2 linked regions of the Caenorhabditis elegans genome follow. The protein of the gene in region 1 purifies or fractionates together with the protein of each later gene. This does not show direct contact. Each region holds a gene or a part of one and is shown on either strand. Other genes may lie near its edges.

Region 1 (15,751 bases):
ACGCCTTCTGATGCTTCTGCTGCTGCGTTTTCCAGGGCGATGATGAGAAGCTGACGGGGAGGGCCGCCGCGTGTGTGAGTGAGCCACAAATGCTTCAGTGCCCTTTTTTTGCACTTTTAAGTTTCTGCTCCGTTTCTCGACCGGGCCGGCTCACTATCTATCTCTGATGACGGAGAAAAAGACGGGCGGTGATTGGAGACATACACACCGTCGAAAAATGATAAGTGAGGTCTACGGTAAGCTAGCAGGCAAGCCTGGGTTCTTAGAATCTAGAGAATCGGAGAAATTTTTGGAGCCGTGGTCAGGGACTCAGGATTCAAGATTTATAGGGCTCGCGCCGTAATCTCATAAGGGTCGAAGTCTAGACTCTTTGGTTTAGGCTCAAAGCACTAGTCTTGTCTAGTCTAGTCTAGCACTAGGCTCTTTCTCAGACTTCCGAGGGCCCTATGCTCTGGGCTTAAAGAACTTGTAACTTCAGGCTTCAGACTTAAACTTCGGATTCGAACTTTCGATCCCAAAGTCTTTATCCAATCTTCAGAACCTTCAGAGCTCCAGATCCTATATTCTAGGCTTTTGTAGGCCTAGAAGCCCCTAACTCCAAAAAAACAATCGTCACAACTAATCAGAAGCGAAATAACAAGAGGAAAAGTTTACTCAACTTGAAATGAGGAACACTCTTGAACAAACAACTAAATCAGCAAGGTGTGAGCCGTGAAACAAAATTATGGGGTTTTCTTCACATTTTCGCTTTCAGCCGCCTGCGCAAAGTCACGCCCACACTGTTCGAAGAAGAAGAAGAACAGCTGAAAGTAGCAATGTGTTCGGTTTTTCAAGATTTCATGTTCAAGTGGTGAGCTTCAACAACTACCGTAGCCAATAAATTCTTCAAGGAAAAGAATAACAAACTAGGAGGAGCAAAAAGAGGACGGGGAAACTCTAGATGTCCGTGCCTTCTGGGCGGTCCAGAACGAATTCGTGTGTGTGTGTGTGTGTGTCGGAAAAAAAGAGAGAAAAAAGGAGCAAAAAGGGGAGAGAAAATATGAGAGAACGACGACGTGAGCAAAAAGAAGGAAGGAGCAGCTCAGCTTTTTTAGGCTCTCAGAGGTGGCAAATTTCAATCGAACCGGCTGTCAATTATTGACACCTGGTTCAGGCTGCAGTGACGTTCGGTTTTTTTTCGCCAAATATCTTTGGACGCCTTAGAAATATAGTTAAGCCTGTGCAGCTTGATCTTTTGCTTAAGCTCTAGATCAAGCTTCAGAAGAAGGCTCACCCCGGCGGAAAAGGGCCTCGCACACGCTCTAATCGATGAGAGGAGACTCTCTCCCTCCCTCTCAAACTTAAAAATCTGAAAGTGCTCTCTCTTCGAAAAGAGCTCCTGCTTCTGCTGCTCGGCCGAGTTTCTCATTAGAGCGAGCGCCTTTGCGCCGCGCGTTTTTGCACTCTAATTAGCATTTCCCTCCGCCGAGTTCTCCAATTTTTTTCCCATCGGTGGCGCTTGACAGTAATAGGTTTCGGCGGCGGCGGTGCCACGGAGGAAACTATAAAATAACTGATAAGAAGTTAGGAGACCGCCAATGGGAAAAGTGCGAATTCTTGGCTCCGCCTCCCCACTACAAATTGGCTAGGAGTAGTGAGCTCCGTGAAAAAAAAGCCGAAAAGAGAAAAGTACAAGCTGACCACTACAATTATGTTCAACTGTCTGCTATCGCATTGACGTGTTTGAGAGAAAAGTTCAGGGGCTCAGCTGATCCCACGTCTCCAGGGAGGTCGTATGAGTTGTACTTTTGAAAAGGTGAGGTGAGCCATCACAAGTCATCTAGAATTCTACCCGGAACTCTTAAACAGAAGCGAGGCTTTAGCTTCATTCCGGCAAAAAAGAATTTCAAGTAGAAGCTGAGCTACCGAACTCCGAAGCTTGTAGATCCCTGCAAGGATCCTTGAGCTTCAGGAGTTATAGTGAACGCTTCTGATTCTAGAAGCCAATGATTCTAACCAGTTCGAATTCCAATAGAACTTCCTGTATGAAGGATCCCTAGGACCAACAAAGCCGAAAAATCCAGGATTCTTCCAAGGATCGAGAGCTACGTTCAGAACAGAAAGATCCCAAGGACATTCCGGAGGACTTGCTGGAGAATCGGATCAGAGACAAGATCTTAAGATCTCGAGAAGGATCCCAAGGATCCTTAGGATTCATCTCAGCACAGCTTGACAAAGAAAAAATACTCCTTTTCGCTCACCTTGTGTGTAATACCAGCTCATCAGGCCCATAATCATGTCCGCATTATTGTCGTCCATCAGCTTCTCCTACCGCACAACTCGTTAAAAAACTGTCGTGCCAATCATGTATATGGGTTATCAGTGATTGGTGAAGGGTACTACCCGAGAGGCGAGGCTGGCGAGGAGGAGGCGAAAATTGATAAGCGTGCCGGGTGGCCGTGCTCCTCCTCTTCTTTCCCCCCAAAAAATCTCTTTTCAAATTTCGGTTTCCCTCCCAATGTGTAATCGGCGGGGGTCGTACCGTATACCGCCATGGCAGAAACAGAGAAAAATTGAAGGAAAAAAAATCAACTTTCACTTTCATTCTCGCTATGGCAACACACACGGCAAAAGGGAAATGAGAGAGAAGAAGTTAACCAGGTTCCGGGTGACTGGTTACAGTCCATCAATCGCCAGGAGACTTGGCGAGGGAAACTGGTTTTATTTGATGAAAACCAAAACTTAAAGAGAGAGAGAGAGAGAGAGATAGATCACAATCGATTGCTCCGGTGAGATGTTTGATTAGGAGAACCCTTACACTGTAACACCACCCGGCGTCGTCGTCCGTCTTCTTCGGAAGAAAAAAATTCAGAAAAAGTCGCCCCGATCCACTTTCTTATCTCCAGGGTTTGTGTCTGAACCTTTTTTTGTGAAACGAAGAGACTACTGATGTGAAAGGTTACACTGGGCAGAAGAATCCCGGGCGGTACCAAATGTTGCCACTGTTTCAGCTGGAAAAAACGCAGGCCATTTCTTCATTTTTTGGGCTTTGTCGTCTATTTTCTCGTAGAAAACTTAGGATTTGCCGAAATTTGATAATTTGATTTTATAAATTACAAATTTTCGTTTCGGTGGACATTTGGAAATGTCCAAACTCAAATAAATTCCTAAATTCCAAAAAAATCGACGATTTTCCGGAAAACTATAGAAAATCAGTGTAATTTTAAGGATTTCACTGGATTTTTCTCAGCTTCCATAAGGAAACGTGGAAAAGTTGACCCATAAGTCTGATCTTTCGGATTCTAAGCTACGGCTTTCCTGGGCCTTCTAGATTCCCAGCTGCACCTCCTTCAAGAGAACATAGCTTTTAAGACTCTGAGCTACAGTACTCCTGTCAAGAACAATTCTGAGCTACAGTACTCCTGTCAAGAACAGTTCTGAGCTACAGTACTCCTGTCAAGAACGATTCTGAGCTACAGTGCCCCTGCCAAGAGCGATTCTGAGCTACAGTACTCCTGTCAAGAACAATTCTGAGCTACAGTACTCCTGTCAAGAACAGTTCTGAGCTACAGTACTCCTGTCAAGAACGATTCTGAGCTACAGTGCCCCTGCCAAGAACAATTCTGAGCTACAGTACCCCTGCCAAGAGCGATTCTGAGCTACAGTACTTCTGTCAAGAGCGATTCTGAGCTACAGTACTCCTGTCAAGAGCGATTTTGGGCTACAGTACCCCCGGTGCCAAGAGCGATTCTGAGCTACAGTACCTCCAGGAGCCAGAATTCTGAGCTACAGTATCCCGACCAGGAATGTGCGGCAAATTTGCCGAATTTGCCGTTTGCCGAGCTCGGCAAATTTCAAAAAAGTACATTTGCAGAATTTTCCGAGCTCGGCAAATTTCGAAATTTGCCGCACACGTCAAAAAATTGAGAGTGCAATTTTGACTAAGACCATTGATTTTTTCGCCAAAAATTTAGTAAAATGACACAAAATTGAGTTATTTTGATGCTTAAGCAGACAGACTACACGGAACTTATTCAGAAACCAGATGAGTGTTAAGAATTCAGTAGTTTTGGTGCTCAAAAAAACATCAAAAAGTATAAAATTATTCCGAGTTTGTTAAGCACGGCAAATTTGCCGAATTTGCCGTGCTCGGCAAATATTGAAAAAAGAGATTTGCCGAATTTGCCGAGCTCGGCAAATTTTGAGATTTGCCGCACACCCCTGATCCCGACCAGCCCTCAAATTCCGCAACTTTTCTCTCCCATTAAAAGTTGCCCAATTCTCCTTATCTCTCCGTGTGTCCATTTTCTACAGTACCCCCCGCTAGGAAACCAATCGACGAGAAATTTGATAATGGGCGGTTTATAAACAATTTGGATGAAATGATGATGGGAAAAAAATTGAGAGTAGAGGTTTCTAAAATGAATTGTAAACTAAACAAAGTCTGGGGGCACCCGAAGGGGTAGAAGAGAGCATCATCAGAAGCTCGCCTAGGCTCAAGTAGAACAGGCAATCAATCAAGCTCTTCTTCTCCCTGTGTGTGTGTGTGTGCTCTAAGACAGCATATCACCAAAATGTGCAGCACAAAAAAAAACGAAGGAACATTTCTCATTTTTCGCCCTCTTGATGATACTCATGGACCCTCCGGGAGGCGACAACACACACAGATAGAAATCACTTCGGCGAACAGGCGTCCTCTCAGGCGACCTCATGTTTCGGCGGCGGAGCTCGGTGAGACATATAAAACACACGTGTCACTGGTGATAATGGAATTTCGGGGGGCCTGAGCACCCTATTTAATGGGGGTACTTAGTGAGTCGGGGGGTGGAGAAGTTATTGGTAAAACCACAGATTTTCGTCAGAGAGGAGTACACAGGTGCTTCGAGATTCGGGAAGACTTCGTGAGCGACAAATTTAAAATTTTCCTTAAAAATGGTGCAAATCCAAAGAAAAGTCGAGTTTTTCGAAATTCCAGCTTGTCCAAGAGGAGTACACGAAGAGAACTGTCGGATAAATTGTTGTAAAAATGGTTTTTCGAGCTATTTTCTACAAATTTCAGCGACTGAACACCTAGAAGTCATTGAAAAATCTCAAAAATACGAATTTCAAAAAACTGTCTTGTCCGAGAGGAGTACACAGCAATACGTATTGGAGGAGTGACGTGATGATGCGATTTTGACGATGCTGATATTCGTATAGATCTTTTGGAAGCATTTTTGAGCAAAATCCGCAAAAAATTGGAAAATTCCTACATTTCCAAAAATTCGACTTTTCCGAGAGGAGTACACAATGCAAAATGGTCAAAAATTCATTTTTGAGCAATTTTCAAGCTTCTGGTGCACTTTACAAAAGTTAGAATAACGAAAATTCTACGAAAAATCGAAAAATCTCCAGATTTTCAAATTTTGGCAAAATTGACTTGTCCGAGAGGAGTACAAAAAGCTAAAATCTGGAAAATTATGAAAATTCCCTGATTTGGAGCTAACAGCATGTTTTCATCGCATTTTCCCATCATTTCAAGCTATTTAAATTGCGAAAAATTGAAAAAATCTCCAGATTTTCAAATTTCGCAGAATTGACTTGTCCGAGAGGAGTACAAAATGGGGAAATGAAGAAAAAGTGGATTTTTCGGATTTTTCCAGCAAATTTCATGCTCACGGTGTACTTTTCCTACTCTATGATAATAAAAATGGAGGATTACAGAAAATTTAAAATTAATTTTTTTTTTCTCAAAAAAAAAAAAAATGTTTTTCAAGCTAAAAGTTCCGATGTACTTTAGCTACTTCTCACAAAAGTGACCCTATAATTTCACGCATTTTTTCTTTTTTTTTTCTCCCATGAGCCCTAGAATTATCAAACACAGATATATATATTTTCTGAGAAAAAAAGAAAAAAAACTGACCTGAAGCTTCTGCCGGTGGGCTCAGCTGCAGAGGATTGCTCAAAGTTTGATGTGACGGGGGAACTGAGCTTTGAATGAAATTACTTGTTGCCGAGCCGAGTCCGTTTTTTGATGGATCTGCAAAAAAAAAGTGGTGAAAAATGGAAATTTTTGCCGATTTGCCGAAAATTTTAAATTCCTGTAATTTTCCGATTTGCCAGAAATTTTAAGTTCCGAAAACTTGCCGGATTTTTCAACTTCCGGCAATTTTCCGATTTGCCGGAAATTTCGAATTCCGGCAATTTTCTGATTTGCCGGAAATTTTTAAATTCCGGCAATTTTCCGATTTGCCGGAAATGTTCAACTCTGCCAATTTCACCCGATTTGCCTGAAATCCTCAATTCCGCCAATTTGCCGGAAATTTCAACTTTCGGCAATTTTCCGATTTGCCGGAAATTCCAAATTCTGGCGATTTGCCGAATTGCCGGAAATTCCAAATTCTGGCGATTTGCCGAATTGCCGGAAATTCCAAATTCTGCCGATTTGCCGGAAATGTTCAACTCTGCCAATTTCACCCGATTTGCCTGAAATCCTCAATTCCGCAAATTTGCCGGAAATTTCAACTTTCGGCAATTTTCCGATTTGCCGGAAACTCCAAATTCTGGCGATTTGCCGAATTGCCGGAAATTCCAAATTCTGGCGATTTGCCGAATTGCCGGAAATTCCAAATTCTGCCAATTTGTCGATCTGCCGGAAATTTTAAATTCCGGCAACTTTCCAATTTGCAGGAAATTTCAATTTCCGATTTTCCGGAAATTTCAAATTTCAGCAACTCGCTGATTTGCCGGAAATTTTAAATTCCGGCAATTTTCCAATTTGCCGGAAATTTTTTAATTCGGTTTGCCGAGCCATTTTTGCCCAAAAATTACAAAAATTTTTGAAAAAAGGCGGTGTCTAGAGTCGAAAATCGCCCGTTTTTTTAAATTCAAAAATTTTTTCTAATAAATGTATATTTATAAATTGTGGAATTTTCTATTTTCTGTGGAATTTTTTGGTCTAAAACTGAATAATTTCTCTAGAAAAGCTGAAAACGGGTGGTCCATCCGACTCCATCGGGCGATTTTCAAAGAAAAAATGTGGGTGCAAATGCGCTCTAATGCGAATTTCTTCCGCATTTTTTTTCGTTAAAACTATTCAAATTGCCGCCGAATCGCGCGGTCATTCTCAACGGAGCGCGATTTCCCGTACCATTTTCGGTTTTCACGTCGCCACCACCAGGTTGTTTGTCCTCCGAACCCATTTGCTTGGCCTGGAAAATTGTAAAAATTGATTTAAAAAATTCATGAGAAAATCCAGAAAGGGCCCAAAATTTTAGGGAATTTCTAGATAAAATCCCCTAAAAAATGAGCTTCTGACTGAAAAAATCCATATTTTTTTGCATTTTCAGGGCGTGCTAAGACCCAAATTATACTTTTCTGACCTCCTCATCAACCGCGGCGGGGGTGTGCTCGGCGGTGCCAGTGTAAGAGCAAAAGTGCACGAGAACTTCAAAATAATATGTATGTATTTTTATCGGAATTCTCTGTCTCTCGAATTTTGGATAGAACAACTCCTTATCAGTCGAGCGGAAAAAAAAAACGACGTGGCAGGAGCAGCAACAGCGCCCAGCGAAAAAAAAGTAGTGGCGGAGCAGTGTTCGATGATCAGAGGAGCAGAAATATTCGGGCGGTCTAGACGAGGTAACGGTGGTGATATGAACCCGAAAAAGGAAATGAGAAACATGTAGAGCTGAGAAAATTGAGAAGAAGAAGAAGAAAAATATAAATTCTCACGGTTGGACAACCCAGAGACGAGAAAATCGACAAGTTTTTGGCGGGAAAATTTGGCGATTTTCGAGGGAAAATCGATTTTTATATTTTTACAAGTGCTGTAAGAGTGTCTCATTTCGGCTTGATCTACGTTGATCTACAAAAAATGCGGGAAAAGAGACGCACACTTTTAAACTGATTTTGCATGGTTAAGAACGTGTTATTTTTTTGGGCAAAAAATTCCCGCAATTTCGTAGATCAACAAAACGTGATGGGACAGTCTGGCACCACGTGTTTTTATAGGACCGCAGAAAAAAGGTCCGGGGTGCCGCCGAAAAAATGTTCAATTTTCGGTCTGTTTTTTTTTTGAGCAAAATGAGCAAAATTTGAAAAAAAAAACCGGCAGGCCTGATTCAGGGGTGCGGGGTACTTGCCGGAATTGCCGGAAATAATATTTTGGAAGTGTTTTTGAAATTAGACGCCTAGACATGCATTTTTTTGACCCGACTACAGAAAGCCCCATTTTTTTCAGATTTTTGTCGTTTTTCCTGGGTTTTTTAAAGGAATTTCTAGGAATTTCTCTTCCCCGGAGCCTGAGCCTAGGCCTAAGCCTATGCTAAAGCCTAAGCCTAAGCCTAATCCGTCGCCTAAGCCTAAGCCTTAGGCTGAGACTAAGCCTCAGCTTAAGCCTATGTTTAAGCCTGAGCCTAAGCTTAAGGTTAAGCTTAAACCTATGCCTAAAAGCCTAATCCTGAATCTAAGTTTAAGCCTAAAAGCCCAAGCCTAAGCCTAAGCCTAAGCCTGAGCTTAAGCATAAGCCTAAGCCTAATTATAAGCCTAAAAGCCTAAGCCTAAAACTGCGATTTTCAAGCTCAACATGTTGTCAAACTCGAATTTTTAAAATTTTTAAGTTTGAATTTAATTCTTTAATTCTGATTTAATTCTGAATAAGGCTAAATTTTTAAAATACAGTTAGGTTTGAAAAAAAAGCTTAAAAAGTGGGAAAATCAACAAAAAATTGAAATTTCGGACGTTTTCAGTTCAATTTTAAGCGAATTTCGGTGAATTTTTCCGGAAAACCACTCCTGGTACGTGAAAATTCGATTTTTCTCAAATTTTTGTGATAAATCTGCTTTTTCGAAAAGTTTTTGTCTGAAAAATGTGCATTTTTCCAAAAATCTACGAATTTTGCGGTAGAGATACCGGGATTTCGCTAGAAATGTTCGATTTTTATGGATTTTTTTTTCAGCTTCACAAACTTACACACTGATCGACAAGCTCCACCTTATTCCACCCATTTGCATTCTTTTTCTTCGAGAAGCTTCCACGACGTTGAGCCTCGACAACCGTATCGGGATCCTGGAGAGAATTGATTTTTAACGAATTTTTAATGTGAAAATTGTAAAAATTAGTTTTTTAATTCAAAATTCCTCGAATTAACCTCAGTACTGGGGGCCATCATGCCGCCGTTTTCGTTGTTTTTGATTTCCTGTTGAATTTGGAGAGTTGCGTTGAAAATTGCTTGACGCGGGGGCTCTTGATGCTCCAAATAGTGTTGATTATTTAGAAGATGACGTGGCGAGCCTCCTGGCACATTCTCTGCAAAAAAAATCAATAGATTTGAAGGATATTAGGCAGAAAAATGAGAAGAAAATCTTTAAATTTAAATTTAAAATTCAAAGAATAGAGTTCGTGGTGAGACCCATCGCAAGAATTACTGCATGTTCCTTTAAAACTACAGTAAGGCTCGATTAATTTTAAAAACTTTTTGAATGAGAATTCGCCAATTTTTCAGTGAAAATCAGTAAAAAATTGGGAACTGTTAAATATAAAAATACATGACTTTTTCAATTTGAAAGTTTGGAGCCAAAAATTTTCAAATAACGGCGCAGAGAAATTAATTGTCGGGTGGGTCTCGGCACGATCGTGGTGAGACCCGCTAAAAACATGGAGAACAAATATTTTGAGTTTTCCAGAAAAAACAACGACAAAAAAGGAGTCAAGGCTTGGGTGGTTTTTTTTTTTGAAAAACCGTGCACAATTTTCAGTACTCGACTGATAGCACATATACATAGGAGAGAAGAACATCTAACCCCCTTGGCGATGCGAAAATAGCATACGAGACAGAGAGACGCCGTACATTGGTGGCGTAACTGATAAAAAACTGATAATAAGTCTCAAAACCACCGCGGGCACTAGGCGCCAGCGCCGAGAAAAAGTAAGAAAAAAATAAAAATGTTGAGAAGAGGGGGAATAGTACTGTATCTATAGCCACCGGTCTTTTTTTTTGGAATTTTTTCGTTTTCGCGAACGGAAATTCGCAAAAAAAGGGAAATTGAAAAAGTAACCAGTGAAAGTGATTGGGAGGATGATATATATTGATAAGGGAGACCGGTGGAACGTGAGAATTTTGAATTCCCGCGCTGGACTACGGTAGGAAGGCGAAATTGGGATTTTTTGAAAAACTCTGGAATTTTCGAGTAAATTTCGTCTAAAAATGGAAAAAAATGTTGCGAAAATATTCTAAATTTTCTTTGAGGCGACTGTAGTTTTTTTTATTATTCGCCAAATTTTGAAATTTAATGCAAAAAGGTGTGCGCCTTTAAAGAATACGGTAGTTTCATTTTTTTTTGGAGTTTTTTTTTTGCCCAGTGTTTATTGTTAGTTTTTAAATAAATAAATAATACATTTTCAAAAATTGATAATAAATACCGGAACAACGAAAGTTTCAAAGTACAGTAATTCTTAAAGGCGCAAAACCTTTTGGCATTCAAGAAAAAAATTTTCGTGCCAAGACCGAGTACCGTATTTCTCGCGGAAAAAAATCGCTAATAATCGCGTTTGTGTGATATTTTTCCGCTTTTAACATTCAAATCAGGTGTGGGCGGAAAACAATTTTTTATCGGCAAACGGCCAATTGGCATTTTGCAAAATGAAAATTCCGGCAAATCGGCAAACCGGCAATTTTTTCGATTTGCCGGAAATTTTTTGAGCAAATTCTATGAAAATATCTAAAGAAAACGGGGAAAAACTTCAAAAAGGCACAGTTTTAAGAGTTTCCGGCAAATTGATATCCGGCAAATCGGCAATTGCCGGATATGAGAAATTCCTGCAAATCGGCAATTTTTTCGATTTGCCGGAAATTTTTTGAAAATTGTAAGCAAACTCTATGAAAATATCTAAAGAAAACGGGAAAAAAATTCAAAAAGGCACAGTCTTACGAGTTTCCGTCTTATAAAAAATCTGTCTAAAAATTTTCGGCAAATTGATATCCGGCAAACGGCAAATCGGCAATTTGGAGAAATTGAAAATTTCCGGCAAATCGGCAAGGTTTGCCGATTTGCCGTTTCCGAACGGCAATTAGTTTTTTTTTTTAATTTTTGAGTATTTAGTTTTTAGGTTAAATTCGACTAAAAAATCTTAGAATGTTTTTTTTTCCAATTCAACATGAAAATTGCTTTTTTTTAAAAATTAATTTCGGAGAAAAGAAGCAGAAAAAAAATTTTATCCACAAAAATTCGATTTTTACGAAATTTTCGAGATTAGAGGTACCAGTTCCGAAAACGAAAGTGTGAGTGGCCTTCGGGATTAATGTTTTCTCAGGCGGATGCTTACAAGTTTGTCCTTGACAAGGTATTTTTCCTTTTCTGAACCATTTTCTGTTTTCAAAACAAGAAATTCTTACGGTACGAGGCTACAGTATCGATTCTCCGCCGATTCGGCCATCAGTAAAAAGTATAAATTACTTATCACCCCATACCTTTTTTTGTTGCGAGCGAGCGCGTGGAAGAACGCAACATTCTCTTTTTTTTTTGGTTGGTCTGCTGTTGATGGTGGTAAGTAACGGCGACGAAATGGTTGGGTAGATGGAAAGACAGAGAGAGAGAGCTAATCAGATCATAGAATTTCAGAGAGAAAGTAGAAGCTTCTTATCACGGCGAGAACACTGTCAGGGGGTATAGTGACGAGTGACAAGGGGGGGGGGGGGGGGCAAAGTAAAAAGCACGGAGAGCATGTGGAGGGAAAGGTTTTGAAATGAAGAAGCTTGGCTTGAATACGAGGCCGTGGTGAATGGAAAAAGTTCGGCCACTAACCAGCCAGCCAGCCAATTAGCTATTAGCCGAACTTTCAGCATTCGAGAAATTTAGCAATGGTTACTGTAGATTTATATCAGTGGTGGGCGGCAATTGCAGGTCGGAAAATAATTTTTTGTGGACAAATTCGGCAAATCGGCAAATTGCTGGTTTGCCGATTTGCCGGGAATTTTGATCTCGGCAATTTGCCGATTTGCCGGGAGTTTTGATCTCGGCAATTTGCCGATTTGCCGGTTTGCCTGAAATCTTCAATGACGGCAATTTGCCGACTTGCTGATTTACCGGAACTTTTCATTTTTGGGGAACTGCCGATTTCCCGTTTTGCCGGAAATTTTCGATTCCGGCAATTTGCCGTTTGCCGGATATCAAGTTTTGCCGATTAAAATTGAAGTTCGGAAATGCTCAAAAAAAATGTGCAAGACCACAACTTGCCGAAAATTTCGGTAAATCGATAGCTCACCGACAAACCGGCAGGTTTGTCGACTTGCCGGAAATTTTCAATTCCGGCTATTTGCCGATTTGCCGAAAAAATCGTGTGCTGGCCGGAGGATTTTTTTATAAGACGGAAACACTTAAAACTGTGCCTTTTTGAAATTTTTACCCGCTTTCTTTAGATATTTTCGTAGAATTTGCTTACTTTTCAAAATAGATGTAGGAATATTCATAGGATGCGTACAGTTTTGCCGATGAAAATTGAAATTTTGAAACTTCCACAAAAAGGGCAAAACCGCAATTTGCCATTTTTCCGGCAAATCGCCAATTTGCCGACTTGCCGGAAAACATTGTTTGCCGACCACCCCTATTTCGTATATTATACTACACTTGACCTTTTCTTTTTCCTAATTTATTTTTAAATATACACCTTTTTTATGCCTTGTGGTTATTCTTCTAGGAAGATACATAGAACACGAAAAAGAAATCAGCAATCTAATCTAAGTTTTTTAAAAAAGGATCTGGTGTTTAGAGACGCAGATTTGGAATGATGGTGTAATAATTGGGAGATTACGCATAGAATACCTTCGGGATAGTTTTAAGGATATTTAGAAAGTTCCAAAATTTTTGTTAGAAATCTTTAAAAATTCAGAAAATAATCAAAACATCTCTAAAAACCTTCGGAAAATTCGAAAAAAAAATCTAGAACGTTTTTGACACATCAAGAATTTCTAAAAAACTTCAGAAAATCGTAAAATTTCTAAAATCTTTTAGAAAGTTGAAAAAAAAACGAGAAAGTTCGAGGCAACTCCAGAAATATCCAAAAAAAAAATTTTTTTATCTGAAAATAAAAAAAAAGTCTCTAAAAACTTTCAGAAATTTCAAAATAATTTGAGAAAGTTCTAGAAAGTTTCAGAAAATTGGTGAAAACTCTAACAAGTTCAAGAAGTTTTTTTCTGATAAACGTGCAAAAAGTTCCAAAAAAATTGATAAAGCTCTAGAAAGATCCAGAACGTTAAAAAAAATACAAAAATGTTTCAGGCTTTTCTAGAAATTTTCTAAAAATTTGGCAAAGTTCCAGAATTTTCCAGAGAGTTTAAGAAGTTCTGAGAAAATTACAAAAAATTCAGAAATACTTATCATTTTTCAAGAATGCTTAAACAATTGCAAATGTTCTAGGTAGGTCTAGAATTCTTTCAAAAAAAATCTCAAATTCTCTAGAATGTTTCAGAAAATCCGAGAAACTTCTAGAACATTATTCTTAAATTTTCATCATTTTACAATTTCGAATTAAGACTAATCAAGCTACAAAAGATAACAGTCCAGGAGGTTTTTGGGATTTTGAATGGCAGTATCATTCGTTTCTTTATTACACCATCACTTACCAAACCTGCGTCTCTAAACACCCGATCCTTAAAAAAAAGACTGCTGACTTCTTCTTCTTCTTCTTCGTCATGTTCTGTGTATCTTCCTTAAAGAATAGCCACACAAATGAAGAAAGGTTTAGGTAAAAAAAGTTGGGGGAAAAAGAAAAGGGAAAGTGTAGTAGTACACATTATCGTCAATTTAGAAAACTTTAGGTTTAATATTTGAAAAAAGGGAAAAGAGGGACTAACATGGGAGAAGCTCGGCCATTTTTTTTCGCGACAAAAAATATTTTCCCGAGAAGTTAAAAATTTCTAAGAAAATTATTGCGGAAAATTCAAATTTAATACGAAAAATTTTGGAGGGAAATTCCAATTTTCTGAGAGAAAATTTGGCAGGTATTTAAAATTGTCTAATAGAAAAATCTTGGTGAAAAATTCAAATTTTCCAAAAGAAAATTTGCGGGAAATTCAAATTTTCTAAAAAAAAATGTTGGCGGGAAACTAAGATTTTCTTACAAATAATTTGGCGGGAAATTCAAATCGTCTGAGAAAAATTGTTTGTCTGAAAGTTCAAATTTCTCTTAAAAATTGTTAGCAGGTATTGAAACGAATTTTGAAGATTAAAAATTTCTACGGAAATTATTGCGGAAAAGTTACATTTTCTTTTAAAAAATTAAGCTGGGAATTTCAAATTTTTTGAGAAAAAGTTATGGCGGGAAATTCAAATTTTTGAAATAAAAAAAAATAAGAAAAAAAAACTAGCTTAAGATCTCTGGCACGGCGGCGGCACCCGTAATATGTATTATTCATAAGATCCTCCTTGTAGCAATATCTGTCATATTTCACGGATGGTATGATATAAAATAATCCATTAGAGTAATAAGAAACACACACCAAAGGGGTTTTTTTAATAAATAGCTTTAACACCTTTTTCAAAAAATTTCCAGAATTTTTAAGGTCAGAATTAAATTTAAAAAAGAAAGTATAGAATGAATACTCTACAATGCATATTTTGAATCGGCACATTGCCAGTTTGCCGATTTGCCGGAAATTTTCAATTCCGGCAATTTGCCGATTTGCTGTTTGCCGGATATCAACTTGCCGGAAGTTTGTAGAGGATTTTTTGGAAGACTGAAACACAAAAAAACTGCCTTTTTGAAATTGTTTCCCCCTTCTCTCTAGATATGTTCAGTGAATTTGCTTACTTTTCAAAATAGATGTAGGAACATTTATAGGATGCGTACAATTTTGCCGATGAAAATTGAAATTGTGAAATTTCCAAAAAATATTGCCAGTTTGCCGGAAATTTTCAATTCCGGCTATTTGCCTATTTGCTGGAAATTTCGATACATAGGATGCGTACAATTTTGCCGATTAAATTTGAAATTCTGAAATTTCCGAAAAAAAAATGTGCAAAACCACAATTTGCCAAAATTTTTCGGCAAATACCGTAATTCAAGAATTTGGCGGTTTGCCGATTTGCCGGAAATTTTCTATTCCGGCGATTTGCCGGTTTGCCGGATATTTTTATTCCGGCAATTTGTCGATTTGCAATTGCTCTTTTTTTCTAAAATTTGACTACGGTAGCAGTTTTCAATAATAAACCTTTCTCTAGAATTCAAAGCTTCTGACTGAATAGTTCCCTACAAATGTTGAAGCCCCCAAAAAAAAAGAGAAAAAGAGCACGCGTTCCGTCCCCCTCGCTGAGCTCTTTCCTCTTCCATGGATGTAGAAGAAAAAAAGAAGAACACTGGAAATACCGCCCCTCTCAATAAAACCGACGGAGGCGCACACATTTTATGGGTTCTCCCTGCAACGGAGAAGAAGAAAACGACGTTTTTTTTTTTATTTTGGTTGCTGTTGCCCTCTCTTTCTGAAATGTGTCCTCCTGGTGACACAGAGAGAGAGAGGGAAAGAGACAGAGATTCGTCTAAGTCTCCATGAAATATATCGGGGGTTTTTTTATGGAGTTGCACTATTTGGGACGAGAAGAGGCAAGAGAACGAAAAATTATGCTAATTTTTGCTGTTTTTTGTGCTGTTCTGGCCCCGGCGCGCGAACACAGAATTTAAAATTCTGTCGACCTACGGACTAGGAAATTTGGGTGGCCGAGTTCAGTGATTTTGAAGTAAAACCCATTACGGTTTGATCTACAGAAAATGCCGGATTTTTTTGCCTAAAAAATGTGAC
Region 2 (15,016 bases), on another chromosome or scaffold:
ACAATATGTACATAAATATTGGGATGATGAGGTGTGGTAAACGAGTGGACAATCTAATGCGGGAGAAACTGATAGTATAGTAGCTTGAGTATTTAGTCATCCTAAACCTGAAGTTGCTAGAAAACTTTAAACTTTTTCGAATCTCAAGACCAATAATCTTATTTTAGTGTCTACAAAGTGACCTATTGCGCCATGTTGTTCCAACTTTATTTTGTTAAAAATTAGTTTTGAATAATATAGAAAGTTATTTGGAAGTATTTGTTCAATTGTTTCAGCTAAAATAAATGTGATTTCAAAAAGATCAAGTGATTGTCTACATTTTGAAACTATCTTTTAATGAAAAATGTTAGAACAACATGGTGCAAGAAGCCAATTTGTAGAACTACGGAAAATCCTGGTTGGCATTTGAGTCAGTTTTCAAGCAATTTCGTAAAATTTTCAATTTATAGTAAAGTTAACTTCAGAAAGTAGAAATATTTATTTATGCTAAAACTTTTTCGCATGTAAAAGTCTGATACTCCTTCTTCTCCATCAAATTTCGCATTTCAATATTTCGCATCTGCTACAGTACACTTCTCACACACAATTTCACCCACGTGCAACCTATTGTTCATTCATTGACATCCAATTGCTCATTTGCATCGTTCTCGCTCTTTTTGTCATTCATCTTCTCATCCTACTTCGTCATTTGAGTGACACCTTCTATGTGTCGGAACCTTTAGTGGGCTTTTAACACACATTTGCATAACCACTGCTACCCCATCTCTAAATGGATGATCTTTTGTGTAACAATTAGGAGAATTGGCAGATGTATAGTTGAATTCAACAGGAAGTATGTGTCACTTCCACCACCTAAATTTTCGCGCATTCAATGAGCAAATATTATGAGGGAATGGGGGAACAATACTTGCAGCACCAATGCACAATTAGACGATGTGCATCCTGAGAAGCCACCTGCTTGTGAGATTTCATACGAAATGAGGAGACGCAGATAGTATTGTGTACTTGAAGACGTTTAGTTGACCTACTAATACTTATTAATCTACTGGCTTTTCCTAGTTATTCTTCTCTTCCTTATTATTTTCTTAATTAGGGATTAGTGTGAATGAATTGAGTTGCAGAAGAACATATTATGACAAGTGGGTTTGTACGTCATTTACACTCGTAGAGGAATCAAGTGTTTTTCAAGAGATTTGAAGTATGGAAGTCTTGAAACTTATAATCGGGGCGTAAAGATAAACTATCTTGTTCTAACTTTTTCATAAATACCACCTCCCAGTTTATGCGCTTGCCTGAATGCCTACGTCTGAACGCCTACTTGCCTGCCTCATGCCGTTCGCCCGATTTTGTCCGATATTCTCACTCTACAAGATGAACCTGAAATATTCCAGTTAGTAAAGTAAATTTTGTTATTTTTGACACCTTGACGTGGAAAACATTAAAAATCTTCTTGAAACACTTGTACACAGTAAAAATTATATTAACTTATAACATTCAGTTGCCAGCCTTCAATAGAAATACATAAATTTAAAGTTGCAGCAAATCAAAAAATGCTTTTTTCCGTTAAAGGTCATCAGTTGAGATCTCTAAATACACTTATTGCACATAACCAAATATTGCACTTCCAAGCAATTTTAGATTTTTCAAAATATTCAGTCAAAGTTTTGGTAAAATGCCAAATCTTCCAAAATTGACTTTTTGAGAGATTCCAGAATTTCCGAGCATTGCTACAAATTGAAATGTTTCGGTGTTTGAGTAGGAACAATTAAAACGTAATATAAAAATCGTAGAAAGAACATTTTTTGGTCGAATTCCAAAACTATGATGAGCTTTCACCACTTTTCAACTCAAAAAGTTAAATTTTTTTGAATAGTTGTACGCTTCTTTTTATCTTTTTAGAACAAATTTCAAAACAATTTCCCAACGATACCCCACCTTGAAGATCATTCACACAGTAAGAAATATGCCAACAATTACCATTTTCCCACGTGTTCTCTCTCTCTCGAGATCTCTCCTGACTTCAAAGCCATACCAATTTCCGGTAATTCAGTGTCCATATTCCTATGTCATCTGTCATTTCAATCTCGGCTCATCAACATCATAATACAATGACCTTGTAGTTGAGGATCTCCGTTCGGCTTCCGAAACAAAAGGCAGATGTATGGTAAGTAGTTGGGTGTTACATACTCTCTCCAAAGTGTTGTTATTGATGTTACACCCTTTCTTCTCAGTAATTCATCAAAACTCTTTTCCTCGCTAATTTGTTTGATGATTTATGAGGGAAGCGGGGTGTGCAAGTTTCGCGCATTTCGGCTTTCAACACAGAAAAATCACTAATTCGTTGATTTATTTTTATGTGAACTTTTGTCGTAACAAGTATCAGGCGGCATCGTTTTTGTGTTGAAAGTTACCGTAAGATTCAAGGGTTTCATTTCGATGTATCCTAAATCTGGGACAATAGAATTTTATGGACCACCCGGTTAGGAGTAAACAATACCCAATAAAATTTAATAATTGAGCTGCCTTCTGCGGTGGAATGTATGCTCCATGATGACATTTGTATCTTTGAGAAATATGTTAGGGATCCAAATCATCAAAATTACTAACTATGTATATGGTGTATTGTTTCTATATTTCTCATTGGAAATTTGAGCTGGAACAGAGAATTTTCTTCATTTTTATTTATAAAGGGCGCTGGATAATTACCGAAAAAGGGAAATTTTTGAGCCTCAAGCATTTTAACCTATGAAAGATAGTTTCATAAGAGTTTTCAGATTAATCGAGGTTCTTGAAATCATTTAATCAGGAAAATACCCACATTACTCACAGAGATCCGCTTTCAGACGTTATGTTCTCTCTGATGGTCTGATTCTACTAATTTTAAATGTAATTTATTTTTTAATTAAAAGCTTGTAGTGGTTTGTTTTACTTTACATAATGTGCTCACATTTTCTTCGTATTTTGTGAGAGATGACGAAAACTACAATAAAAGAAAAATGCGTGCGGTGGCGTTGCAAAAACCACGCGCACCACTTGCAATAGAAGCCACGCCCTTATTTCCTTTGTTTTATTTTTCGTTTTCAGCTCTTTCAGTTCTCTTTTCAAATGATTTACCTGTTAAAATTAGTCAGAAAAATTAGATTTCGGTTAAAGTTTTGATTTTCTTTATAACAGTTATACGAAAATTGGTGCCGATTGCTGTTTAAGCTTCAGTTCTGAAAAGCTGTTTCTATAATACATTCGCACTGTCTTTCCCGTTCAGTTGCAGCGTTTTTCTACTTTCAGTAGTTTCAGTTAATACTTTAATGTTACAGAGAAATGGCTGACAAATCGACGGAGGTTGAAAAGGCCATTGACCCAATCATTGACTTGGGTAACCTGCTGTTTATTGATCGAGAGCCAATCCAAGGAGACGCAAGGTATATTATAGAATTTCGTTATTAATTAAACCAGCAAATTTCATAATTTTTCAGTGAAGGACTCGAGGAACGTGCTAGGAAGAACACACAACTCCTTTTCAACAACATCTGGCAGCTGGAGCAAAAAAGAGTAGAAGAGGCTATTATTGTTACTCTCCCTCCCGCCACTTACCGTCTTCCTCGTGAGAAACGATTGCCAGAGAAAAAAGAGCCGACGAAATGGGAGAAATATGCTGCTGAAAAGGGAATTGAGAAGAGAAAGAAGGATAAGAAGGTGTTCGATGAAGCGACAAAGGAATGGAAACCGACCTATGGATACAGACGTGGAAATGATGATACCAAGGATTGGCTGATCGAAATTCCTGACAACGCAGAAGATCCGAACAAGGATTTCTTTGCTGAGAGACGCGAAAAGAAGAAGGAGAGAGTTGCAAAGAACGATATGCAGAGAATGAAGAATCTTGCTCGTCAGATGAAGACAACAGTCAAGAGCGGTCCATCGACAGAAAAGATGATCGGAGTAGGAGTCGATGCCAAGGAAAAATCAAAGCAACAAGTTCGTTTCGCAGTGGATCGTGCAAAGCTTGCCACAGCTTCCGCTGGAAAGTTCCAGGAAGGATTGAAGGGAGAGAAGGCCAACGTGAAAACTGGCAAGAAGAGAAAGTTCGAAGCCAACGAAGCTCCAGTTTCTGGCGAGAAAGAACGTGCTCTCCAGATTCTTCAACGAATGAAGTCAAAGAAAGCAAAGATTGTTGAAGAAAAGGCTGCTGCAGTTGCTGGACCTTTGAGAGAGTGAGTAGTGAGAAAATTAGGCCTTTATCGTTATTCAATTCAATTAATTTCAGGAAGAAGGAAAAATCGGAGAGGAAAGGTGCTAAAGATCAAACAAGACAGAAGAGTCAGATTCACAGACAACAGTGGTTCAAAAACAAGGTCGACGGCAAGAAGAAGGGTACTGGTGGTGCTGGAAAGAAGGGAGCCAACAAGGCCAAAGCAAGAAAGGGATAATCTATGTTCTTGTTTTTTATTCAAATTTGTTGATTTTGATTCGTTTATTTTTTTTGTTACTTTCTTTTTTATTCATCAAATTTTAACATTCAATAAATAAATGTTCTGTTAAGTAGAAAATGTTACTTTTCTTCATGAAATGATGTTTTAGTTCTCGATTGTGAATTTACCTGGGATAGGTTATTTTATTAAATTTGTTCAGAGTTTTATATAATCCCAATTATTTTTCTCTGGCATGTTTTTTTTTTCTCTGAATGTAAGAAAGCCAACATTGATTCGCGATTTTCAAATCTATGAAATTAATAGGCGGAGTTTTCTTTGCCAGATCCAGCAACTCGGCCATCTTTCAAACCAAGATAAGTGATTTTAGATCATTTAACAATTTGCCTGTCAAGACTTAATATTTTCTCAACTAGTAAAGTGCTGTTCCCATTTACTCAGCAATCTGTTTCTTCGAAAGTCACAAATCGGTAGTGTCTCAATTTCCAAGCGTGCTCCATCGCACTCCCTTTAAATTTTGTCATCTTTTCGGCGTTCTCATCATTTTTCAACCTTCAACAATATATTTTAGTCGAAACTTCATTAATTCAGCTTAAAATGGCTTTGAACTTCCTCTCATACGACGATGACTTTTGTGGATATTGCGGCGCCATCTTGGAACTACCGGCACAGGCTCCAGCGACGGTCTCCTGCAAAGTATGCTCAACTCGATGGGCTGTGAAAGGTTTCCTGCTTTTAAGATGAATATATTCTAATTTTAAAATGTTTTCAGAAAGAGTAGATCAAGTGGTTAGCCGTGTCGAAAAGATCTACGAACGAACGGTTGCTGATACAGATGGAATTGAAAATGACGAGTCAGCGGATGCTGTTGTTGATCATATTTGCACAAAGTAAGAATATTTCCGGGGATTTTGAAACTGAGAAAGACTGAAACTAATTTCCAACTTTAAGGTGCGGTCACTCAAAGGCATCATATTCTACTATGCAAACGAGATCTGCAGATGAAGGACAAACAGTATTCTATACATGCCTGAAATGCAAGAAGAAGGATATCGAATATTCTTGATAACCTTTCGAGTCTTTATTTTTCAAATCAGATTTTTATTTCTGTTGTTATATATTGTTGAATTTTTGTTTTTGTTTCCTGAATATTCCATTAAGTTTCTTTTTATTCGTTTTTTTTTTCATTTTATTGGTACACTGGTCAATAACCAGATTTCCTATCTTTATCGGTTTTCAAATTAATGGTTGATTTCCACTTTAAAATTTATGTTTAGATGTCTCGTGGAAGCAGCGCCGGATTCGATCGTCATATTACCATCTTCTCTCCAGAAGGACGTGTTTATCAGGTTATAAAATAATAGTTGAATGTTTATAACTTTCCATGCTTGCTTCCAGGTCGAGTATGCCTTCAAAGCAATCAACTCTACCAATCTGACGGCTGTCGCAGTCAAGGGAGCTGATGCAGCTGTCATTGCCGTTCAAAAGCGTGTTCCAGACAGTCTCATCGTCGCTGATACCGTCACTTCGGTTTATCAAATCTCTCAGTCTGTTGGATGCTGCGCCATTGGAATGATCCCGGATGCTAAATTCCAAATCAAGCGTGCACAGGGAGAAGCTGCTAGCTGGAAGTACAAGAACGGCTACGATATGCCATGCGAGCTTCTCGCCAAAAAGATGGCTGATCTCAACCAGTATTACACACAAAATGCGGAGATGCGTAGTTTGGGATGTGGTTAGTAGAAAAATTTCCGAATTCTCTAACTTCAATTATTACAATTACTCAATTTCAGCTCTTTTGTTCATTTCCTACGATGACGAGAAAGGACCAGAAGTTTATCGTGTTGACCCCGCTGGATACTACCGTGGTATGAAAGGAGTATCTGTTGGAGTGAAACAACTTCCAGCGACCTCATTCTTGGAAAAGAAAATTAAGAAGAAGTCCGAATTGACATCCACAGAAGCTATTGAACTCGCCATTGAGGCTCTTCAGACTTCATTGGGAATCGACGTTCGTTCCAAGGATCTTGAGGTTGTCGTTGTCACCAAGGATAACTCCAAATTCACCAAGCTAACCAGCGATCAGGTCGAACATCATCTCAATCAAATCGCCAACCGAGATTAAATATTCATCGACCTTTGTATTTAAATATTTCCCGTTTCAATTGATCCGGTACCCAAATTGAATTAAATACCTGGTTTCCCTTTTCTAAATTTATTTATTGTTTTCTTTACTCCCTGTTTCTCGGTCTTTTTTATCATTGCCCTCCGCCCCTTTCTCTTTTGAAACTATTTATTTATCACTAAAAATCATGATAAAATGATTTTTGAAACACTTCATATTATTCATGTTGACTTTGATGGTGGTTTCGCAATCCCTGTTATTTATTTTTTAGTACGAATTCATTGAAGAAAACTGCAAGTTAAAAAAATTATACATTCAAAGTTTTAACAGACCATCTATTAAAATGGATGGTGCAGATGCTGAAGAACATGGAGGATTCCTCTTTTTTGTGCTCGCTTCATCCGTAGTTTTTATTGTGCTCTTTTTCACAAGGTAATCGATATTTCACGATAGCTAAAACTATAATCTAAAATATTTCAGACGTTACTTTAAAGGAGGTCAATTCAATGAAAGAGTCTCTGCAAAGGGATTAGTAGCCGTTGTGACCGGTTCTAATTGTGGAATTGGATTCGAGACAGTTCGGGAACTTAATTTGAGGAAAGCTGATGTGAGTTACAGAACTAATTGCATTGTTATAATTAATTGCTAATTACTAATTACATAAATTGCATTTGTTTCTAAACAATGCTATCCATATTTAAGTTATCAAGAATAATCTAATTTTTTCCAGGTCTATATGCTGTGCAGAAGCGAAGAGAAAGCCAATGAAGCGAAACGAATGCTCGTGAGACAAGGATGCGATGCCACTCGTCTTCACTTCATTGAATGTGATTTGACAGATTTTGAAAGTGTACGACGAGCTGCCAAGGAAACTCTCGAATCGACTGACACCATTGATATCCTTATCAATAATGCTGGAATCATGTTTCAAAGCAAACACGAGCAAACCAAGGATGGTCATGAGAAAACTTGGCAGAGCAACCATTTGGGACCATTTCTGCTCACCGAACTTTTTCTGCCAGCTGTTAAGAAGTCTTCCTACGCTCGAATCATCAATGTTTCATCTCGTATTCATTTGAAATCCGAGAAAATTAATTTGGCTACTGTAGATGACAAGAAATCGTTTGGAATGATGAAATCGTACAGACAGAGCAAGTTGGCAAATGTTATGCACGCAAGAGCCTTGACTAAGGAATTGAGAAAGGACGGAGCCGAACACGTGACTGTTAACTCCCTGCACCCAGGAGTTGTTAATACCGAGCTCGCGAGAAATACCATTTTGAATACACCAGGAATCAAGCAGATTACAGCTGTTTTCCGGTAAGCCAAGCCAAATTTCCACACTTAACCTTAAAATAAATAAAATTAATTTCAGTTGGTTCCTCATGAAAACCAGCCGCGACGGAGCTCAAACTTCAATCTTCCTTGCATTGGGCAAAAAGATCGGTGGAATCAGTGGAAAATACTTTGCCGATTGCAAGTTGACCCAAGAAAACCCACTAGCCTTGGATGATCAGGCCTGTCAGGATTTGTACAATTATAGCTTGGAATGTACTGGCCTCGCCAAGTAATGTGCCAGCGCAGCTACAATAATTTCTCTATTAAGAATTCATATCAATCCCATTGTAAACTTTAACAAAGGCTTTATATTCAAGTATTTAAAATTAAAATTTCATTGAATGAATAAATATGTAATACATAACAAAACGAAAAACAAAACTAGTTGAAAACATTTTACAGCGAGTTTCACTCGAGGAAATTACCATTTTTTATCTTCCAGATTTTTGGTGACTCTACCAGAGACATGCCATTGAACGTCGACGTCAGTTTCTCCTTCTCGGACTTCTTCTTCGCTGACTGGTCGATATATACAATCTCTCGGCACTTGTGCTCACATTTGCACTGCACGAAGTCGATATCCTTCTCGAGGAGATGGAAGAGTTTGCCGTCTGAATGAGGACATTTATCTAGGAAAACTAATTATCAAGAACGTACCTGGAGCAACAACCTTTGAGAAGTATTCCTCAACCTCTTTTTTGAAAGCCTTGAAATAATCAAGGGTGATCACATATCCATTGCCTTCGTCGAGGGGAAAACGTGAGTAAATCACGAGATCAGGAATGTCGTTTCCTGATTCAACCAAACGAACATTGCATGTTGGATTACACTGGATATCATCAAGTTATTAGAATAGTTAATTGAATAAAACTCACGCTGTGGGGAATGAATTTTGAGAAGTCATAGAACTCTCGACGATCGAGGCACAAATCTGTTCCTGGAATTTCGACGAAAGAACTGAATGCAACCTCTTTTCCTTCAGTTCGCAAAGATTCTCGAGCAACTTCGGCTGGTCGAATCTGAGATGAAATATTATACAATTACAATTACAGTTTTTAAAATTACCACTCCAGTCATGACCATCAGAGGAACATTGGGGAGACTGTACATAGCTGATAATATGTACCAGCCCGATCCGGGTTCCTGTCTCATTTCAAGTGGTATGGAGAATCTCGAGTTCACTCTAAATAAAAATAATTAAAATCTGAAACACTTTTCAAAACACATACGCCTTGTTGATTCTTCGCATTCCCTCGTACTTATTCTCATCAACCTCCTTCAGATATTTTGGCTGTTGTGATTCGTCTTTGGCAAAATACAACCGGTCGATGAATGGCCGAACCTGAAATTTGTGAATTTAAGAAACAGAAGAAACATAATAAATGCTCACATTGTTGAATCCAGCTTTTATACCCTTCCGAGGGAAAAAGTGAGGAAAATTTTCACGATTCTTATACATTTCTTCTGTAACTGGTTCAAACAAGATGTTTGGCAATGGAGGCGGAGGGAAGAGGACTGATTGCTTCTTAGTTGGGTAGAAGATCTTGACGAAAGGATAATCTTCGAAAATCTGTCTCTGATATTTCATCTCCTTGTCATACTGAATATGACTGCTGTTGACTCTATCAATTTGTGGAACGAGGAAGGAGTGTAGAAGATGCATCTGGTTATGCTCTTTGATGTACTGAAAATTCGATTTTAAACCAGTACGGGTAAATAGAAAATACTCACTTTCAAATACATAATCTTTGCTCCGATGTTGTCTCTCGTGACAAACTTGACCGAAGATCCGAAAACAGTGGCTTCCGCTACGATTGATAAAGGTATCAAAGTGTTCGTGAAAAATACTAAGTCACTAAGCGCGGTATCCAGATTTCGGAGGAAAAAGTCAAGATTCGTTACGTATGAAGATTTCAATGTCCTTGCAGCATACCCCATAAGCTTCTCGGTGCACACAAGTCGTCGTTCAGCTTCTTCCGTGTCACCACCATTCCAGTTCGTCCACTTGACTGTATATTGAATCTCCCGTCCTTCGATTCTCTGAGATATTGTAATTATGGTGGTTTGAAAACAATTTTCTTGGCAACTACCTTTTGAGTTACACGAACAAATCAAAATGTATTTGAATACAATTTTAAATTTCACAACATTACTTGAATAACCCTATAAGAAACACACCGAGCGAACGATATCTTGAACTTCATAAAATTCGGTGTCCACCTTGCCGGTATTTTGGGTGGAGATTTTGTCACATTTCCTTGACTTGGATGCATTCTTTTTGATCGCATTCTTGGACTTTCGCGATTTTGCTTTCTTTTTAATATCCTTCGTAGTCATTCGTGGTGCTTTTTTCTGCACTGCAGCCTGAAAGTTCGTTTACCGGTTTATTTGCTTTTTTTTTTCGATTTAAACATACCTATTTTTTCGCAAAAAAATTGAGGATTGATTTTTTAGCTAAAAAATAAAAAATAAATATTTGGGCTAAATTAAAAAATTTAGATGATTTCTGCAAAGGATGAGGAGGTCTCGCATGGATTGACACACCTTGCGACTACGGTAGCTGTAGATTTACGAAGTGATTTTCTTGTCTTCAAATCGACTTCAATTTTTCAAACTAAATGCTCACTTTTTAAGATTATGCGTGGACAAAATCGGCGAGGCTATCGGAATATCGAAGGACGGCTCAGCCTTTCATCCCATTCATCGCATTCTTCACCACGCCAGACACATGTCACAAACTTGAGGCCAGCTGAAATCAAGGTTGTCCAAGATGTCGTGGATGGGTGTTATGTTGCGACTGACGATGTTCTTAACCTGTCGAACTTTTCAAAAAACACAGAATTTGTCGAAAGGGACATGTTGATGTGCCTCACGAAGACAAGAGTGATGTCGGTAGTTCTACAGCATATTGGGTACAAATATCCTCGCATTTCCGGAATCTCATTCTCGGTTTAGATTAATTTGTGAAAAAATAATTAATTCCATGTAATTTTCAGAATAATCGGCTCTGTCACTTGGACCATCTCTCCTCTCTCTCGAGCATATCCAAGTTTCTAAAATTCCTCGACTTGAGTCATAATCAGGTTTTAAAAGTTTTTGTATTCTTAAATTTCATAACTTTTTTTTCTAAGATTTCGTCAGGAGAAGAATTGAAGAAGTTAGGAACGATTCCAGTAGAAACTGTGTTTTTCGAGGGAAATCCAGTCTGCGAGAAGTTTGTGCAATGTGCCGAGTATGCCAACTTTATTCAAAAGACATTCCCAAAATGTTCAAATTTGGTAATTCACGAATATCCTAACAATTATTTCAATTTCTATCTAAATTGTAGGATGGAATGGAAGTCGAACCAAAACCAGATCACAATAGAATCGAGCAGATAATTCCATTCAGGGTGATACAGTATATTTCTACATTCCCGAATCATCTAATTATTTTAGAATGGATACTATGGCAGTGATGAAGTTCGTACTCTTGTCGAAGAATTTATCATCACATATTACAAAATCTACGATGGCGCAGATGGACAGCAGACAAGGAAGCAACTTCTGGATGCGTACGACACAAATAACGTGCTGATTCTTGCATTTTTTCAGTAGTAAATATAAACATATATTTTTCAGTCAACATTCACGCATACAGTTGTCTGCTTGTGGGACCCAATTAAATTTGTCATGTATCCGGACAGGTACCGTCTGAAGTCTTAAGGTTTTAATAATTATTTATATTTCAAGTGAGAGCTATCGAATGTACCTGAGAACTTCGCACAATGTTCTGAATCAGGAATATTTTGCCGCAAATCGGGCCTCCAGAATATCACACGGTGCAATGGATATCGTAGTTGCACTTTCGAGACTTCCTGCCACAATTCATCTGATGGATACATTCGTAGTTGACGTGTTCCTTGTTTCGGCAACACTTCTCGGATTCACATTACATGGAACATTTCGTGACGGACCATCTGCGATAAAGCCCGAGAACACTGAGGAACATGATAATTATTTTACGAGAACATTCATGGTTGCTCCAAGAGGCGAAGGAAAAGTCGCCATTGTTTCCGATCAGCTGTTCATTAGCTCGATGTCAAAAAGACGCGGCGATCAGTACCGCATGCTAGTGGAGACAGCAACGGACATTGACCAGTGAAAATTATATATTTTCATACATTTAAACGGCATCCTATTTGTATTTTTATGTCTAGTTTCGGATCATATCTTGTTACCAACACCTAGCATGTTTTTTTTTGTCTCAACATTTTACAGTTATTTGTTAATCTTCATTTTTAAAAATTATTTGTATGGAACAATGTCTAATCGGTCTTTGTAGCTATCAATTTTCAAATTGACCTGATCAAAAGTGGCAGCACCAAACCAAGCAGCTGCGAATCCAATTGAAGCACTCGCTAGGTAGATCGCGATGATTCTTTTTCTGAAACAATTCCATTTTCAAGAGACTTTTCGTGGAAATACCTACCCCGGTTTCCTCAAACCGGGAAATACGGGAACACGGGAGAATGTGAATTCGGCTGAAGTTCCGATGTCTGGCAACATCTTCCGACGTTCAAAACGCGTCGGAATAGGCGCAATATTGTCAAGACGCGAATCAGGGGTGTACTTCTTCATATTCTTTTAGTTGTAAGAACAATGGAGAGAGACGGATGTTTTGGAAATTGTTGGCTGCGAAGATGGGAAAAGAGTGGTGAGCAAACAAAAATTACGGGGAACAAAACGTTTTCTCGTATTTTTACTGCTATCTATATAGCCACTGAATTTGCAGAAATATGTATATTTTGTTGACAGGTGACAGTGAAATATTGAAAATTTACTCATATATTACAGTAGTATCTTTTTGCGGTTACTGTAGTCGGCGAAATTGAAAATCACTGTTCAACGATTAATATTTTGCATGATCGATTTTTATCATGCCTCTTAAGTGTTACTATCATTCTAACCGAGAATTCACGTCATTTTCTGACTCGCATGAAACATGTTTGCCTAAAACATTTTTTATTCTTGTTTATGTCGTCAAATTGGGGGCTCGTCTGCATTTTTGCGTAACGGTGTTTGCACAACCGATAAAAGTCACGAGATTTTTTTTTGCATAAATATGATTCAGTTTCACCAATTTTCGAATTGCCGTTCTTTGCTTAGTGTTCCAAATGTGAAATTATAGTTTTAAAATCTGATTCATTGAGTTTTCTGATTTCCGCAAAACTAAATTATCTCCCGGCTGGAATGAGGCAGCCGTCCCAGTTTCGCAACACTTTCGAAATGAGTAAAAATTTAACTTTTCCTTGTCTATTATAACTTTTCATGTTCAATATTGCTTTCTCTTGAATATCATATTTATTTGTGTTTCACCTACACCTTTAATTTAATTTTTCGATACCAGTTTTCCCTCGATGAAATACAAATCTTTCAGATATGAATCGCAAAGGGTTTGGAGGGCATCGTGACGCGAAGCAATTGTCACGTACAAAGAATCGTTTTGCTCGACTTGACCCAGACACTCAAAGCAGATATGAAGACGACGACGAGCCTGCCGTTCCAGGTAACGCTTAGATTTATTCATATCCTTGCCAACTTATTTTTGTTTCAGTTCGTGCAAGCCTTACTTCTGCCAGTAGCCGTGGTCGTGGAGGATCATCACGCGGTTTCGGACAATCGGCTGCATCCATCGCCAACACTGGAGTTCGTAATGCTGACATCGTCTACAAGTGCCGTGCTACTGGAGCTGCCAAGAAAGTTGATGCCAAGTGGCTGATCAAGCAGCTTAATCAAATAATCGAAAATTTCAAGCCACTTCTCTGGACTGATAACGCCCGTGGAGACTTTGAATGGTACGTCCGCGACGAGGACACTGCTTCAACTATCCGAGCCAATAATCGTCGTGTTGTCCACAAAGAAAGTGGCACACGCGTTGAGTTTTACACTTCCAAAGTTCCAGCCCCATGGATGAAACTGAAACGAGAGGAAATTGAGATCATTCATGTAAGCCTCAAAATTTATTTGTCAGGTAATCATTACAAACATTTTTCAGAGAGTAGTCGACAAACGTCACAACGCCGAGAATCGAGTATTGGATTTATCAAACTTCCACGAAGACGAAGAGTTCAAGGCAAAGGATATGATGATGAATTTGACGAAAGGAAATGTCATGCTCACAGTTCTCGATCACATTGATGATAAGTACGGAAACATTGTGGCTTTGTCGTTATCAGTGAGTCATGCTCTTAATATTCTCTATAAAAGTAATTTTTATCATTTCAGAACAATCGCATCCGTCATTTGGACTACGCTTCAGCTCTCGTGTCAATCGCTAAGTTCGTTATGGAGTTGGATTTGAGTCACAACCACGTTAGTTCAATAGATCTAGCTATTTTTTATTCAACTTTTGATTTACAGATTTCCACTGAAAAGGAGTTAGAGAAATTCGCCGGATTGCCAGTCGAAAGATTCTTCTTTGAAGGAAACCCAGTCGTCGAGTCATTCACACAGAGGGCAGCATATATCAGGTTACATTATCTGAATGATTTTCAGATTTTTTATTTAAATTTCATTGTGTTTTCCTCCTTGTTCCCTATTTTATTATGTTCATTAACCCCAAACCTACCACTTCAGCTATATTCATCAATCATTCCCGCGATGCAACATGCTGGTAAGTTATTTAACATTGAGCCAAGTTCGCATCTCGGAATGAAACTACTTTCAGGACGGAGTCGAAGTGCAGCCGCTGGTTGTTGGACCGGATCTCGATATTCATGACGCAATGCCATTCAGAGTAAGTTCCTGCGGATTTAAATCTCCCTAGAACCTTCGTTATTCTAATATTTTTAGGCTGGATATTACCCAAATCCACAGATCCGAGTTCTTGTCGAGCAATTTGTGACTTCATACTTTGATTTCTACGATGGACCGGATGGCCAGAGAACTAGAAGAAATCTCCACAATGCGTACGACGCTGATGCTTCAACATTCTCGTTGACAATCGAACATTTGCGTGGATCTTCTCATGCACGACACCACAATGAGTAAGGATATTTTAAAATGCACAATATTATTATATTTATTGATTTTCAGCGAGTGCTTTGCACAATACGCTGGTGTATCACACAACGTGCTGAAACAGG

Evidence for each region.
Region 2: the proteins of tra-1 (region 1) and nxf-2 purify together in Caenorhabditis elegans (affinity purification with western blotting, with the first as the bait; one study listed by BioGRID). This does not show direct contact.

Annotation. Positions count from the first base shown.
Region 1 is NC_003281.10:11,185,934-11,201,684, forward strand, and holds the start of tra-1 (Sex-determining transformer protein 1), read right to left. Parts: upstream 9,269-15,751; 5' UTR 9,131-9,268; coding exon 9,110-9,130; intron 9,028-9,109; coding exon 8,932-9,027; intron 7,170-8,931; coding exon 7,109-7,169; intron 5,999-7,108; coding exon 5,882-5,998; intron 1-5,881. UniProt on the Caenorhabditis elegans protein: Plays a major role in controlling sexual phenotype. Terminal global regulator in a well-characterized cascade of sex-determining genes. Promotes female development. Interacts with tra-2 to promote spermatogenesis.
Region 2 is NC_003283.11:14,413,307-14,428,322, reverse strand, and holds nxf-2 (Nuclear RNA export factor 2), read left to right. Parts: upstream 1-10,487; 5' UTR 10,488-10,527; coding exon 10,528-10,839; intron 10,840-10,886; coding exon 10,887-10,973; intron 10,974-11,021; coding exon 11,022-11,168; intron 11,169-11,218; coding exon 11,219-11,281; intron 11,282-11,327; coding exon 11,328-11,459; intron 11,460-11,510; coding exon 11,511-11,575; intron 11,576-11,621; coding exon 11,622-12,033; 3' UTR 12,034-12,176; downstream 12,177-15,016. Other genes in the region: rrsr-1 (Ribosome biogenesis regulatory protein homolog), read left to right, coding at 3,319-3,419, 3,474-4,211, 4,265-4,427; rpoa-12 (DNA-directed RNA polymerase subunit), read left to right, coding at 5,025-5,151, 5,200-5,317, 5,379-5,493; pas-1 (Proteasome subunit alpha type-6), read left to right, coding at 5,705-5,776, 5,826-6,162, 6,221-6,552; dhs-22 (DeHydrogenases, Short chain), read left to right, coding at 6,896-6,984, 7,033-7,159, 7,283-7,872, 7,928-8,123; set-31 (SET domain-containing protein), read right to left, coding at 8,299-8,501, 8,548-8,719, 8,766-8,909, 8,956-9,073, 9,120-9,232, 9,281-9,574, 9,622-9,930, 10,069-10,227; C15H11.11 (Cytochrome b-c1 complex subunit 10), read right to left, coding at 12,177-12,315, 12,361-12,509; nxf-1 (Nuclear RNA export factor 1), read left to right, coding at 13,311-13,437, 13,486-13,877, 13,927-14,106, 14,157-14,243, 14,292-14,401, 14,508-14,544, 14,599-14,667, 14,724-14,917 and 1 more. UniProt on the Caenorhabditis elegans protein: Involved in the export of cellular mRNA to the cytoplasm. Plays a role in the nuclear retention of unspliced mRNAs.